Kluyveromyces lactis: one gene and its partners. The protein of the gene in region 2 interacts with the protein of the main gene of each other region in a biochemical or structural test. Links are inferred from orthologs where the notes say so. Each region holds a gene or a part of one and is shown on either strand. Other genes may lie near its edges.

What was found.
Region 1: of the proteins of KLLA0_D16456g (region 2) and CBK1, one has a biochemical effect on the other in vitro, tested with the Saccharomyces cerevisiae proteins (3 studies listed by BioGRID). The link is inferred for Kluyveromyces lactis from reciprocal best matches to the Saccharomyces cerevisiae genes ACE2 and CBK1.
Region 3: the proteins of KLLA0_D16456g (region 2) and CRM1 form a complex in vitro, tested with the Saccharomyces cerevisiae proteins (2 studies listed by BioGRID, with this or other methods). The link is inferred for Kluyveromyces lactis from reciprocal best matches to the Saccharomyces cerevisiae genes ACE2 and CRM1.

What each region holds. Positions count from the first base shown.
Region 1 is NC_006040.1:668,471-672,712, reverse strand, and holds CBK1 (serine/threonine protein kinase CBK1), read left to right. Parts: upstream 1-1,461; coding exon 1,462-3,618; downstream 3,619-4,242. Other genes in the region: RPL42A (60S ribosomal protein eL42), read left to right, coding at 31-34, 625-941; KLLA0_D07788g (uncharacterized protein), read right to left, coding at 4,207-4,242. UniProt on the Saccharomyces cerevisiae protein: Protein kinase that seems to play a role in the regulation of cell morphogenesis and proliferation.
Region 2 is NC_006040.1:1,387,548-1,391,829, reverse strand, and holds KLLA0_D16456g (uncharacterized protein), read left to right. Parts: upstream 1-1,419; coding exon 1,420-3,984; downstream 3,985-4,282. Other genes in the region: USB1 (phosphoric diester hydrolase), read left to right, coding at 1-657. UniProt on the Saccharomyces cerevisiae protein: Plays a role in regulating basal-level expression of CUP1. Activates EGT2 transcription in the absence of SWI5.
Region 3 is NC_006041.1:1,429,162-1,433,400, reverse strand, and holds the start of CRM1 (exportin CRM1), read left to right. Parts: upstream 1-1,409; coding exon 1,410-4,239. Other genes in the region: calcium channel protein CCH1, read left to right, coding at 1-834. UniProt on the Saccharomyces cerevisiae protein: Receptor for the leucine-rich nuclear export signal (NES).

The DNA of each region.
Region 1 (4,242 bases), about 720 kb from region 2:
CGTAACTCAACAGAGATCAAATCAGTCACAATGGGTATGTGAACAAGATTTAAAATATACCGTGGAGATTGTCAGTGGTTTATTCGATTTTTGGTATCCTGAGGGAAGAATGGAACGTTTGAAGTTTAGTACCAAGTGAACATGAAATGAGCTATGGTTATTTAACAGAATACAGCATTTCAGAGTGAATCAATGAGAAAACACCAACCGTATTGGAAATTCAGATATTGCATCGACAAGGGGGGAGAGTTCATTTGAGTTGGTGAACTATATCAAAAGATCAGTATTTTGGTCGAAGTATGGACGATTCACTAGCATAAAACCCTGTTCACGCTGGAGGAAGTAATTTGGGTTATTTGTTGTCCCTATGTTTCTTAATTCGGTGTAGTCGAGACAACCTCAGAGAATTGTATATCAGTGAAGTCAACGCTACACTGACTGAACATAATTAACAGGAACTCAGTCGTATTAAACAACTGGGGTTCAGATAGCCTGGACCTCCCTATACAATAAGAAGAAGAGAATAGAATTCCTGCAATCAAAATAAGCTGGATGAAGCTAAAGAATATTTTTTTACTAACATCGACATGTATCACTATCTTATGATATGTTAATTTCTAACAGTTAACGTTCCAAAGACCAGAAAGACTTACTGTAAGGGTAAGGAGTGCCGTAAGCACGCCCAACACAAGGTTACCCAATACAAGGCTGGTAAGGCTTCCTTGTACGCTCAAGGTAAGAGAAGATATGACCGTAAACAATCTGGTTTCGGTGGTCAAACCAAGCAAATTTTCCACAAGAAAGCTAAGACTACCAAGAAGGTCGTTTTGAGATTGGAATGTATGTCCTGTAAGACCAAGACCCAATTGGCTTTGAAGAGATGTAAGCACTTCGAATTGGGTGGTGAAAAGAAGCAAAAGGGTCAAGCTTTGCAATTCTGAGATTATCTTTTGGAAGACCAATTTGTTACCATTTGTCAATTTTTTAACTTTTCTATAAGTATTACGAATTCACATATACTCTTTCATCACATTTATAATCTCATATCTGTCATTTGTATAGTTTAGTCTCCACTGGGTACTTCTTCACTTTGCGATTTGTATTATACGTATTCTAAGTATAATTTTCAGCAGAACGCATAAGAGTTTATTAACAAGAATTGTTTACAAAGAATAGCGTAGGACTCAGGCTACATTATTGATCCTGCAGGCAGTAAAGCTTACATATGACCTTAGCTAATATAACATGTACATACTCACCATGTATACCACTTTTTTCATTCCATTGTCTAAAATATGTTTTCAATATTTGCCATAATCGCCAATTTCATTGGAAAAACAAAAACATCGAATCAAACTTGTTTTAGAAAACAACGAACATGAAACTATACTGTTAACGTTTAGAGACATATTTCACGTCAACAAGGCCGTTTGGACGTCGCTACTTCAGCAACAACACGTAATGTACGGTGGATATTCGAATCAGAACTACTATCAACAGCCTTCTGGTCGTCCAAACGATTTTCAGCAACAGGGAAACATGCCCTTTTCGGAACCTTCTCAGCCCATGTTCAGCACCAATTATATGAAACAACAAGGATCACAGCCGTCTTTACAAGACCGTCTGACCCAACAGCAATCGCAACCTCAGTCGCATAATAATCAATATTATCCGAATGGAGGGTTTACTGATGTGCCCAACTTGAATTATCCAGCGACTCCACCACCAACTCAAAGCATTTATTCACATAACAACAACTCTAATTCGAAGGTATATCAATCCGCTCAGCATACATCTCCCGGTCAATATTCTGTTGCCAGTGAGTCCGGTTTGTACATCCCGCCACCACTGCAGCAACAGCAGAATGGTCAACAGAGTCCTGTGAGATCGGTACATCAACAGACACAGCAAACACCGCCAACATTTACTCAGCAACAAAGCTCTTCCCAACCTCAGTCACCTCAACACAATACGTATCATGCACAGCAGCAGCAGCAGCAGCAGCAGCAGCAACAACAAACTCAACAGGCCCAGCAGCAAGGACAACGACAAACTCAGCAACAGTCTCAGCAGCAAGCTCAACAACAGAATGGATCGGCGAATAATTACATGTATTTTGAGAGAAGACCTGACCTATTGACCAAAACTACCCAAGACAAAGCAGCTGCTGTTAAGCTCAAGATAGAGAACTTTTATCAGAGTAGTGTTGGTTATGCTATTGAAAGAAATCAAAGAAGATTGGAACTGGAATCCGAATTGGCATCCCAGGACTGGTCCGAGGAACGTAAGAATAGACAGCTTGCTTCTTTAGGTAAAAAGGAGTCACAATTTTTGAGACTACGTAGAACGAGATTATCGTTGGACGACTTCAATTCAGTGAAAGTCATCGGTAAAGGTGCCTTTGGTGAAGTTAGATTGGTACAAAAGAAAGACACAGGCAAGATATATGCTATGAAAACATTGCTGAAATCGGAAATGTACAACAAAGATCAGTTAGCTCACGTAAAGGCTGAAAGGGATGTTCTAGCGGGAAGTGATTCTCCGTGGGTTGTTTCATTGTATTATTCCTTTCAAGATTCACAATATTTGTATTTAATTATGGAGTTTTTGCCGGGTGGTGACTTGATGACCATGTTAATCAGATGGCAAATTTTCACAGAAGATGTGACAAGATTCTACATGGCAGAATGTATACTTGCTATCGAGGTCATTCATAAATTGGGCTTTATTCACAGAGATATTAAACCAGATAATATCTTGATAGATATTAGAGGCCACATTAAACTATCAGATTTTGGTTTGAGTACGGGGTTCCATAAGACTCACGATTCAAGTTACTACAAAAAGTTATTACAAGAGGACGAGGCAAAGAAACAACAGCAACAACAACAGCAACAACAGCAATTAAATCTACAAAAACCTCAGCTCCCAAACGAAACAAACAATGGTAATAGAAATACAATGTTGGTTGACGCCATTCATTTAACCATGACAAATAGACAACAAATGCAAACTTGGAGAAAGTCGCGTAGACTAATGGCATACTCTACTGTTGGTACTCCGGATTATATTGCACCTGAAATTTTCCTGTACCAAGGTTATGGTCAGGAATGTGATTGGTGGTCATTAGGAGCTATTATGTACGAGTGTCTAATTGGTTGGCCTCCATTTTGCTCTGAAACACCACAAGAAACGTATCGTAAGATCATGAATTTCGAACAAACTTTGCAATTCCCCGATGATATTCATATTTCTTATGAAGCTGAAGATCTAATCAGAAGATTGTTAACTCACTCTGAAAATCGTCTAGGTAGACATGGTGGTGCCGATGAAATTAAGGCACATCCTTTCTTCAGTGGTGTTGATTGGAACACTATCAGGCAAGTGGAAGCTCCTTATATTCCTAAGTTGTCCAGTGTCACAGATACTAGGTTCTTCCCAACTGATGAATTAGAAAATGTCCCTGATTCACCAGCAATGGCACAAGCTGCAAGACAAAGAGAACAGATGATGACACAGCAACAAGGGGTTCCTCAATCCAATGCAAAGGAAGATTTACCATTCATCGGGTACACGTACTCTAGGTTTGATTATCTAACTAGAAAGAATGCTCTATAGTAACGCTCTCTGTACATAACCGCGACGGAAGTTCCTAAATATAATAAAATAAACGAAAGTAAGAAATACTACCAAGAATTATAAACATTACGGTCATTAAAGTGGAGAAAATGTAGATACAGCTGATTCCCAATAGATCATAATCAAATTGACTCAATATCAGGCGCCCAGCAACGTACTTGGTATTAAATCTACGCTTCAACACAAATTATTAAAACCAGGAAATAGTGAACAACACATAACCCGGTCCCCGCGCAGAACGAAATCTTACACAGGGATAACCGTGGAGCGATAATATTGATGTTGATCTTTTAGGAAACAAATAGTAACTAAGGTTAAACTAAAATAGTTCTAATGTATTTAATCATTGAAAGGCCTATAAGTGGAAACGAAGAAATATGTATCTGATTTTATATACTGGCAAAAAAAATTTCATGTTAGTGTGAATGATCTCCTTACTCCGGGTAACGGAGTTTATCAAAGTGTTTTCCGTCCAATATAGATTCAAACCCTAATGAGGGCAAGATTGAAGGAAAAGCGTCAAGGATTGGTACATTCGATTTGCAACTGGAGCTTGCATCCAATTGATCAATCCCTCTTAAGTGAAACAGAACGTTGGTTTCT
Region 2 (4,282 bases):
AGAAATACTTGCTATATGTTTCTTCAGCTGCGGCTTGATTCCAAACAGAACCGGGTGCTTGATATGATTTTGAACGACGTAAACTCAGTAATGAACATGCATCATATGACTAACTTTGAACCCTTACATCGTGGAAAGCTAGGTACCATTAAGCCCTTACATGTGTCTTTGACGTCTTCGTTGTATTTCACCGATGGAGCGGAGACAGCAACGAGTGTTGCTCAAATCAAGAAAGAAATCACCACTTTGAAATATAAATCGATTCCAATTTCTCTGGCAGGTAACTGGCGTCTCTACGATAATTTTGACTCAAGTCTCACGTTCTTGACGTTGAATTTATCCAAATCATCAGTGCGACAGTTACAACCTATTCTTGATGCGATAAAAAGAAACGTCCCGCCAACTTATCATTCAAAGGTGATAGACCCTGAGACAGCACACATTTCGTTCGGAGTTATTCCAAACAATAAACAATTTAAAAATGCGGAAGAATTTGAAAAGTCGAGCAAATATCTACGACATATTTTAGCTACGGAAGCGTTGGCACAGTTACCTCTATTGAGAGCAGACTTGCAATTTAGATGTCAGGAAATCAAGGCGGAGATTGGAGTAGACGTGATTTCGATGCCCTTCTCGAAATCCGCTGATAGGTTGTAAATATCAATTTATACTACTTTCAAGCGGTAGTCTTGTATCAGGCACATGCCTGACTTAGAAAATCATTCAGAATTGGTAAACTTGCTTGTCACTATCAGTCACATGACTTGATTAGATATGCGAATTTTCCTAATTAGTACGATTAGTTAAGCCATGTTAAAAATCGCATCAACCTTTTTTTTTCTTTGTTTTGATATGAACAGCTATGTTGATATTTGAACCCAATCGGGTAATAGCGCTTCAAAAACCTCGTTCGAACAAAGCATAATGCCCTTGAAGCTATGTTTGCATTGTCTATTTCTACATCTAAACATATAATTGTGTTTTCTTTAACTATGTACCTCTTTTATAAACTTTGCAGCAACTGTTGTTTGGTTCATATAACAAGAAACTCTTCCAGTTGAAGCTTTCATTACGTTTTCCCCATCTTCCCCATACATCTGTAACATCGATTGTTATTGGTTGCATCAGGTATTGGAAACACTCCGTTGATATTAGCAGTTTAATCATTTGCATAAGATATATTACAACTTAACAAGGAGAACAACTTTAGGTTAGGTGCAATCGATTTTTGAAGTGAGCCTCTAGAAGTAAGAAAGACTGGAAGCAACAAGGAACCGAAAAGATAATTCAATACTAAGATACATAGGTAAGAGCGCAAACACCAAGTTGACTTGAAGTTAAAAGAGCGGGATTAAAATAAGAAGTTTTTGATAGTACCAACAAAAATACATTCGAACCGTGTTTATTCAATCTGGACCAATGAGTAGCACAGAGCAATGGTCCAACTTGATTAAGAATCCATACGATGTCGTAGATGGAAACAATGGTGAAATATCAGAAAACATGATGGATTTGCTGAATTCAAGAAACAATTCCAATAATCTGGGTTCTGTCTATGGGGGACAGGATTATCCTCTTCCAGATGAGGCTTTTGAGAACTTCAACCCTGTTATGGATATAAATATTGAAGAATTTCTCACAAAAGAATTAAGAGATCTTGACATACCAGTACTTCCTAAGGATGAACTTTCAAAACTTGATCTAGAGATGTTCCCGGGAAACGGATTAGATTGGAATGTAGTAAACGATAATGATGCTTCTGTCGGTGTTGGAAATGTAAATACAGAAATACCATCAATCACTCCAAGAAAACTTATGCCAGGTGGTGGGGCCGCAGGAAATCACAAGAAAAAGCCAAGTGGTACTGCCATCTTTGGATTTGCCCAGCATAATAAATCATTAAGCATAGGGTCCATGACAATCAATCTAGATGAGAAGAAGCAGGCCTTCCTGCAACAGGAACAGCAAAAACTACTGCAAGCACAGCAGGCTTCCCAGCCTGCAGAAATAAAGATGAGCGAGACGATTATGCAACAGCAAAAAGAGTTACAGTTGGCTCTACAAAGACAAAAGGAGATGAATGAAAAGCTTGAAGATCAACTAAGAATGAATAAGCTACAACAAGAACAACTACAGAGAGCCCTGGAGGCTCAACAAATGACTTTAAATCAAGTTTCTTCTATCCCTACTACCACACCGGTAAGGCCGGAGACAAGTATAATTATTACTTCTAACGGTAAGAACGGTAAGTATCAATTTCCACCACCATCTTCCGACGATTCATCCCAACAAAGACAAATGGGAGAAAGGACAAAATTGGACGAATCGCCTAATAAAGATGTCAATAAAGTGTATGCAGTGGGAGCGGGGAATGGACTGTTATCGCCCTTTTCAAGGGCATCGGTCAACGGATCTCCACATAGACGTCGTCAACATAATTATGATGGGGTTGAGAACGGTAATAACCGTCTTGCTCCTCCTATGAACTTTTCTATATCAAGCACGAGTACTGTCGGAAACAACACGGAACAATTATTGAAGATGTCCAAGTATTTTCAAGAGTTGACGGACAATCAAAGTCGTGGTCCATCCAATTGTGCGGTGTATAACAAGAAAAGTTCAAATCGTCCACCAATCACGCCACAAGATCAAATATATGATAATCCAAAGACCCCATCAATGAATTGTAATTATAAACATACTACCCGAAGTGATGATGGATTAGAAACAGCAAGTAGTATTGACAGTAACATTAACAACAAAAACAGCCATCAGAACAAGCATTTCGCAAGAGATAGTACGATATCGACGGCATCTACGATCCCAATGCAAAGTGAGGATGACCATGAATCAGAACAAACCCAACAGCAACCCAGTCTGGGACTTGGAATAACGCTGAACAGCAGGGTCCAATTGAAGAAACCACCGCAATTGCAGATAATGCCAATGATTCCTGGATCTAGCGAAACGACTCCGTTGAAACAGAAGCAATCACCTGATAGGCAATTTTCAAATAAGCTGAACAGCGAGAACATGCCAGTAAAACACTCTTTCCAACATACTCCAACAAAGAAACTAATATTTGACAAAACTGTCACGACTTCTCTACGGCCTGACGATAGGAAAGGTCAAAATGCTAGAAACATTATTCTTGCATCACGTGATGGCGAAGAGGATATGAAATCTGGCCGTCTAACGAACATGAATAACGGAAACAACGACGAACCGGAGTGCGAGTTCGTACAAGCTCAAACCCCATCTCCAATTCTGCGATCTCAAGAGCGATTCGATTGTATTGCTGAATCACCGGTGCATTTCCCTTACAATCAACATAACCATGTCGATTTGGGACTAGGGCCCAATCATAACGGAATTGGCCTAAACACCAATTTGAACACCAGCCCCATGGTAAGTGGGGGAAGGAACGGTAAACGGTATGGCATGCTGCCTAGAGAACAGATTGACAAGTACATTCTCGAAATTGGACCTAAACAGTTCCAATGCAAGTTTAAAGATTGTCAAAAGAGGTTTAACAGACGGTACAACGCGAGAACTCATATCCAAACCCATCTTTGCGATAGGCCGTACAAGTGTGATTTCCCAGGATGTCAAAAGGCTTTTGTCAGAAACCATGATTTGCTACGACACAAGAAATCGCATTTAGAGAAAGGTTACTCGTGTGCAGGTTGTGGTAAGAAGTTCCATTCAGAAGATTCTCTTGTGAAACATCAAGAACGTAAAAGTCATGAGGGCAGACTGGATGAAGAAGATTTGTGCAACCAAGAACAAAATCATGACCTAGACTACTACGATCACTTGGATTCTTCGCCTATAAGACTTAATGGCGGCAATCAGATCAGGAAACCAGTTTCCCCGAAGAAAGTGCCGAATGTCATAAGAGAAAACATCCAAAGGGGACACACTACTGCTGCGCTTCGCGTACAAGAACAATTGACGTACAATCAAACTACAACTGGTGTGTAAAATTCGTCAGAATGAATTTTATCTTTAGCAGATACTAACTGGCTTGTCTTAATTTTATCCAACATTGCACACTTTCAAAATCACTAAGTACTCTTGAAATATGTTCTTTTATAACGTTTTTAATACTATTTTATTCAATGGAAACAGAAAAACCGTTAGTGATTTATCAACTATCTACCCCGCTCTCACTGAGAAACAGAGGGAAGAAGAAGAAGTTCCGATCTGACATCTCAGGTCCGATTTCTCCCCCACCCTCAGATCTGTAACCTTTGCAGTTGAAACTTTTTTCAGGCCTGTA
Region 3 (4,239 bases), on a different chromosome or scaffold from region 2:
ATCGTAGAAAAGTTCAGCTACGTCTATCATAGAGAGGAAAATAAGCACTCACCAGCAAGCCAAGAAGAAGTGAGGAAATTCAAAGTGGCATGGAGGGAAATTGATCCTGATGGTGTAGGGCAATTTGATGTCGCGTACTTACCAAAATTCATGCACTCGTTTGATGGACCCCTCTCGTTTAAAATTTGGGAGGGAAGACTTACTGTTAAGAGTTTGGTGTCTAAATACATGAAAGTAAACCCAAACGATCCATATGATGTTGAAATTGATCACTTCGGACTCAGCAAAGAACTTTCCTCTATAGACTATCAAAAAGTGAACGCCAGACGACTAGATTATAACAGATTTGTCCATGAAATTCAGCTGGGAAATAAGAGATACAACGCCGTGCAGTTCAATCAGCTGATGGAAACAGTTCCATTGTACACTACATATAACAAGACTGAATGTCTTGGGATCGATGATTATGTGAAAAATTTATACGACATGAACAAAGTTGATAAACTGATCCGGAACGAGAGAAACTACGATACCATGCTAATGGTTGTCGCAAGATGGAAATTTTTACTGAACCGTAGAGGCAAGATACAACTACCTAAAATAATGGTGCCAATATCCTCTTATCCAAACGGATCCACTGAAGATTTCGAGCTTGAGTTTAAGTCACCTGTTTTAAATACCCAGGAATCAGAGTTTATGTGGTCGCCAGGCCGTCGCAACAATCACTGGTTTGAAGAAGATGAAAGTAGCTCAAAAGAAAATACATCTCGAACTCTGATCAAAGACACATCTACCAAACCAGGAACAACCGACTCATCCTCATCATCATCTTAGATCAATGAGTACCTAATCTTAATTTATGTTCCATCATTTGTTACATATATAGACTTGTATACCCACAGAAGAGTACCTTTTTTGATTAACTAAAGGAAAAGATTTCAGATCACGTGTATGTTTGGGCGCCACGCCTAAAGCCATCACAAGGCACGAATTTAGTTACCCTACCATTATTGATTTTTCGAAAGAAGCAGTTTTACTAAAGCCAAAACCTTCAATTGATAGGGTTTGGGGTCTAAAGTAAACAGAATGTTAACATGTATTTGTTAGATAAATTTTAGATCTGGCAGCGTGCTATCGAGTCACTTTTGTTCGTACTAGATTCAACCGTTACTGTTCAGTGCTAAATAAGAAAACTATAGTCCGGTGTATTTTTTTTTCTTTCTTTATTATTTATTTCGGAAATTGCAGCTGTGAATTCGAATCTTGGTGGAATTTATACAGCAGACTAAAGGAACAAGACATTGCATTTAATTAATCAGGGTCTTTTCATAAGAAGGATACTACTGCACTGTACTCATAGGAAAATAGTAAAAAGAGATCCACACACACGTTCTTCTTTCTAAATCAATATGGAGGCTGTTTTAGACTTTTCTCGGGACTTAGACATCCAGCTCCTAGATCAAGTGGTGGATACCTTTTTCAAGGGCTCTGGTGCGTCTCAAAAGGAGGCACAAGAGGTTCTTACTAAATTGAAGGACCATCCAGATGCTTGGCAAAGGGCTGATAAAATCTTGCAGTATTCAAATAATCCGCAAACGAAGTTCATTGGGCTTTCCATTTTGGATAAGTTAATTACGACGAAATGGAAGATGTTACCTCAGGAGCATAGACTTGGAATTCGTAATTTCATCGTTGGAATGATTATTTCAATGTGTCAAGATGATCAGGTTTTCCAAACTCAGAAGAATTTGATTCATAAGTCTGATTTAACCTTGGTTCAAATTCTTAAGCAGGACTGGCCAGAAAACTGGCCAGACTTCATCCCGGAGTTGGTTCTCAGTTCCCAAGCTAGTGTAAACGTATGTGAAAACAACATGGTAATGCTAAAGTTATTAAGTGAGGAAGTCTTTGATTTCTCTGCAGAGCAAATGACGCAAGCTAAAGCACTACATTTAAAACAATCTATGGATCAACAATTTGAACAGATTTTCAATCTATGTTACGAAATTTTGGAAACCGCATCTTCTCCATCCCTTATGGTGGCCACTTTGCAATCTCTTTTGAGATACTTGCATTGGATCCCATACCGTTACATCTACAACACTGATATTTTGCAATTGTTGAGTACGAAATTTTTAGTCTCTGCTGACACCAGAGCTATTACTTTGAAATGTTTGACTGAAGTTTCTCAACTTGATATTCCAGCAAATGACCCAAAGATTGCTTCGTTAACTGTAATGTTTTTCCAAAATGCTTTGCAACAAATTGCTGTTAACGTTATACCGGTGAATGCTGACTTGAAGAACACATATGCTACTGCTAATGGCAACGATCAATCATTTTTGCAAGATTTTGCCATGTTCTTGACTACCTATTTGGCCAGACACCGTTCAATATTAGAAGATGATGAATCCTTGAGGGAACTATTAATTACTGCGCATCAATATTTGATTGAACTTTCGAAGATTGACGAAAGAGAATTGTTCAAAACGACTTTGGACTACTGGAATAATTTGGTTTCGGCCTTGTACCAAGAGGTGCAACAAATCCCTCAAAATCAGAATAACGTCCTATTGAAACTATCTCAAGGATCGAATATGTTCTCAGGGAGCAATGGTGCTCCTCACCCGGAATTCTTGAAAAGGTTCCCGTTAAAGAAACACATTTACGATAACATCTGTTCTCAGTTAAGATGGGTTATAATAGAATCGATGGTTAGACCAGAGGAAGTTCTTATTGTGGAAAACGATGAAGGTGAAATCGTCAGAGAGTTTGTTAAGGAGTCGGACACAATTCAGTTATATAAGTCCGAAAGGGAAGTACTTGTTTACTTGACGCATTTAGATGTTCTTGATACTGAAGACATCATGTTGAATAAATTGGCAAAGCAACTTGATGGCTCTGAATGGTCATGGCACAACATCAACACATTGTGTTGGGCTATTGGTTCTATTTCTGGTACTATGGACGAGGAAACTGAGAAAAAATTTGTCGTTACAATCATTAAAGATCTTTTAGCCTTGACTGATAAAAAGCGCGGTAAGGACAACAAGGCTGTTGTTGCATCGAACATTATGTACGTTGTCGGTCAGTACCCACGTTTCTTAAAAGCTCATTGGAAGTTCTTGAAGACAGTCATTCTAAAACTATTTGAATTTATGCATGAAACCCATGAGGGTGTTCAAGATATGGCCTGTGACACCTTCATCAAGATTGTACAGAGATGTAAACGTCACTTTGTCGTTCAACAGCCAAACGAAAGTGAACCTTTCATCCAGGCAATAATTAGAAACATTCAAGACCACACCTCCGATCTTCAACCTCAGCAAGTACACACATTTTACAAGGCTTGCGGTTTAATTATTTCTGATGAAAGAAACCCAGGAGAAAAACAAAGATTACTAGCAGATTTGATGCAACTCCCTAACATGGCATGGGACGCTATAATTCAGCAATCATCTACTCATCTGGATATTTTGTCGGACCCTGAAACTGTGAAAATCGTTACCAATATTCTAAAGACAAACGTTGCCGTTTGTTCCGCTATGGGTAATGACTTTGCTCCGCAGTTGAGTCGTAACTTCACACCAATGATGTCATTGTGCTCAGCTGTGTCTAGATGTATTTCAACACAAGTAGCCAGCGATGGGATTATTGCTACTAAGACTCCAAAGGTAAGAGGTTTAAGAACAATCAAGAAAGAAATTCTAAAATTAATGGAATTATACATTTCCAGTGCAAAGGATTTAGACTACATCGTAAATGACTTGGCATCAGCACTGTTTGACTCTGTGTTACGGGATTACTACATTACCGTACCAGATGCCCGTGACGCTGAGATTTTAAGTTGTATGACCACACTTGTCAACAAAGTTGGGCCTATGATGATCAGCGGTGTCATTTTGATTTTACAGAGTGTCTTTGAAGCTACATTAGACATGATCAATAAAGATTTCACGGAATATCCGGAACATCGTGTGGAGTTTTATAAATTATTGAGGGCCATCAACTCCAAGTGTTTCGTAGCGATATCTCAACTACCACCACCGGCTTTCAAACTTTTCGTTGATGCCATATGTTGGGCGTTCAAACACAACAACAGAGATGTTGAGGTAAATGGGTTACAAATTGCTTTAGACCTTATTCAAAACGTTGATTCCGCTAGTCCGTCTGAATTCTCTAACGATTTCTACAAGAACTATTACTTCACATTCCTTAGCGAAACCTTCTATGTCCTCA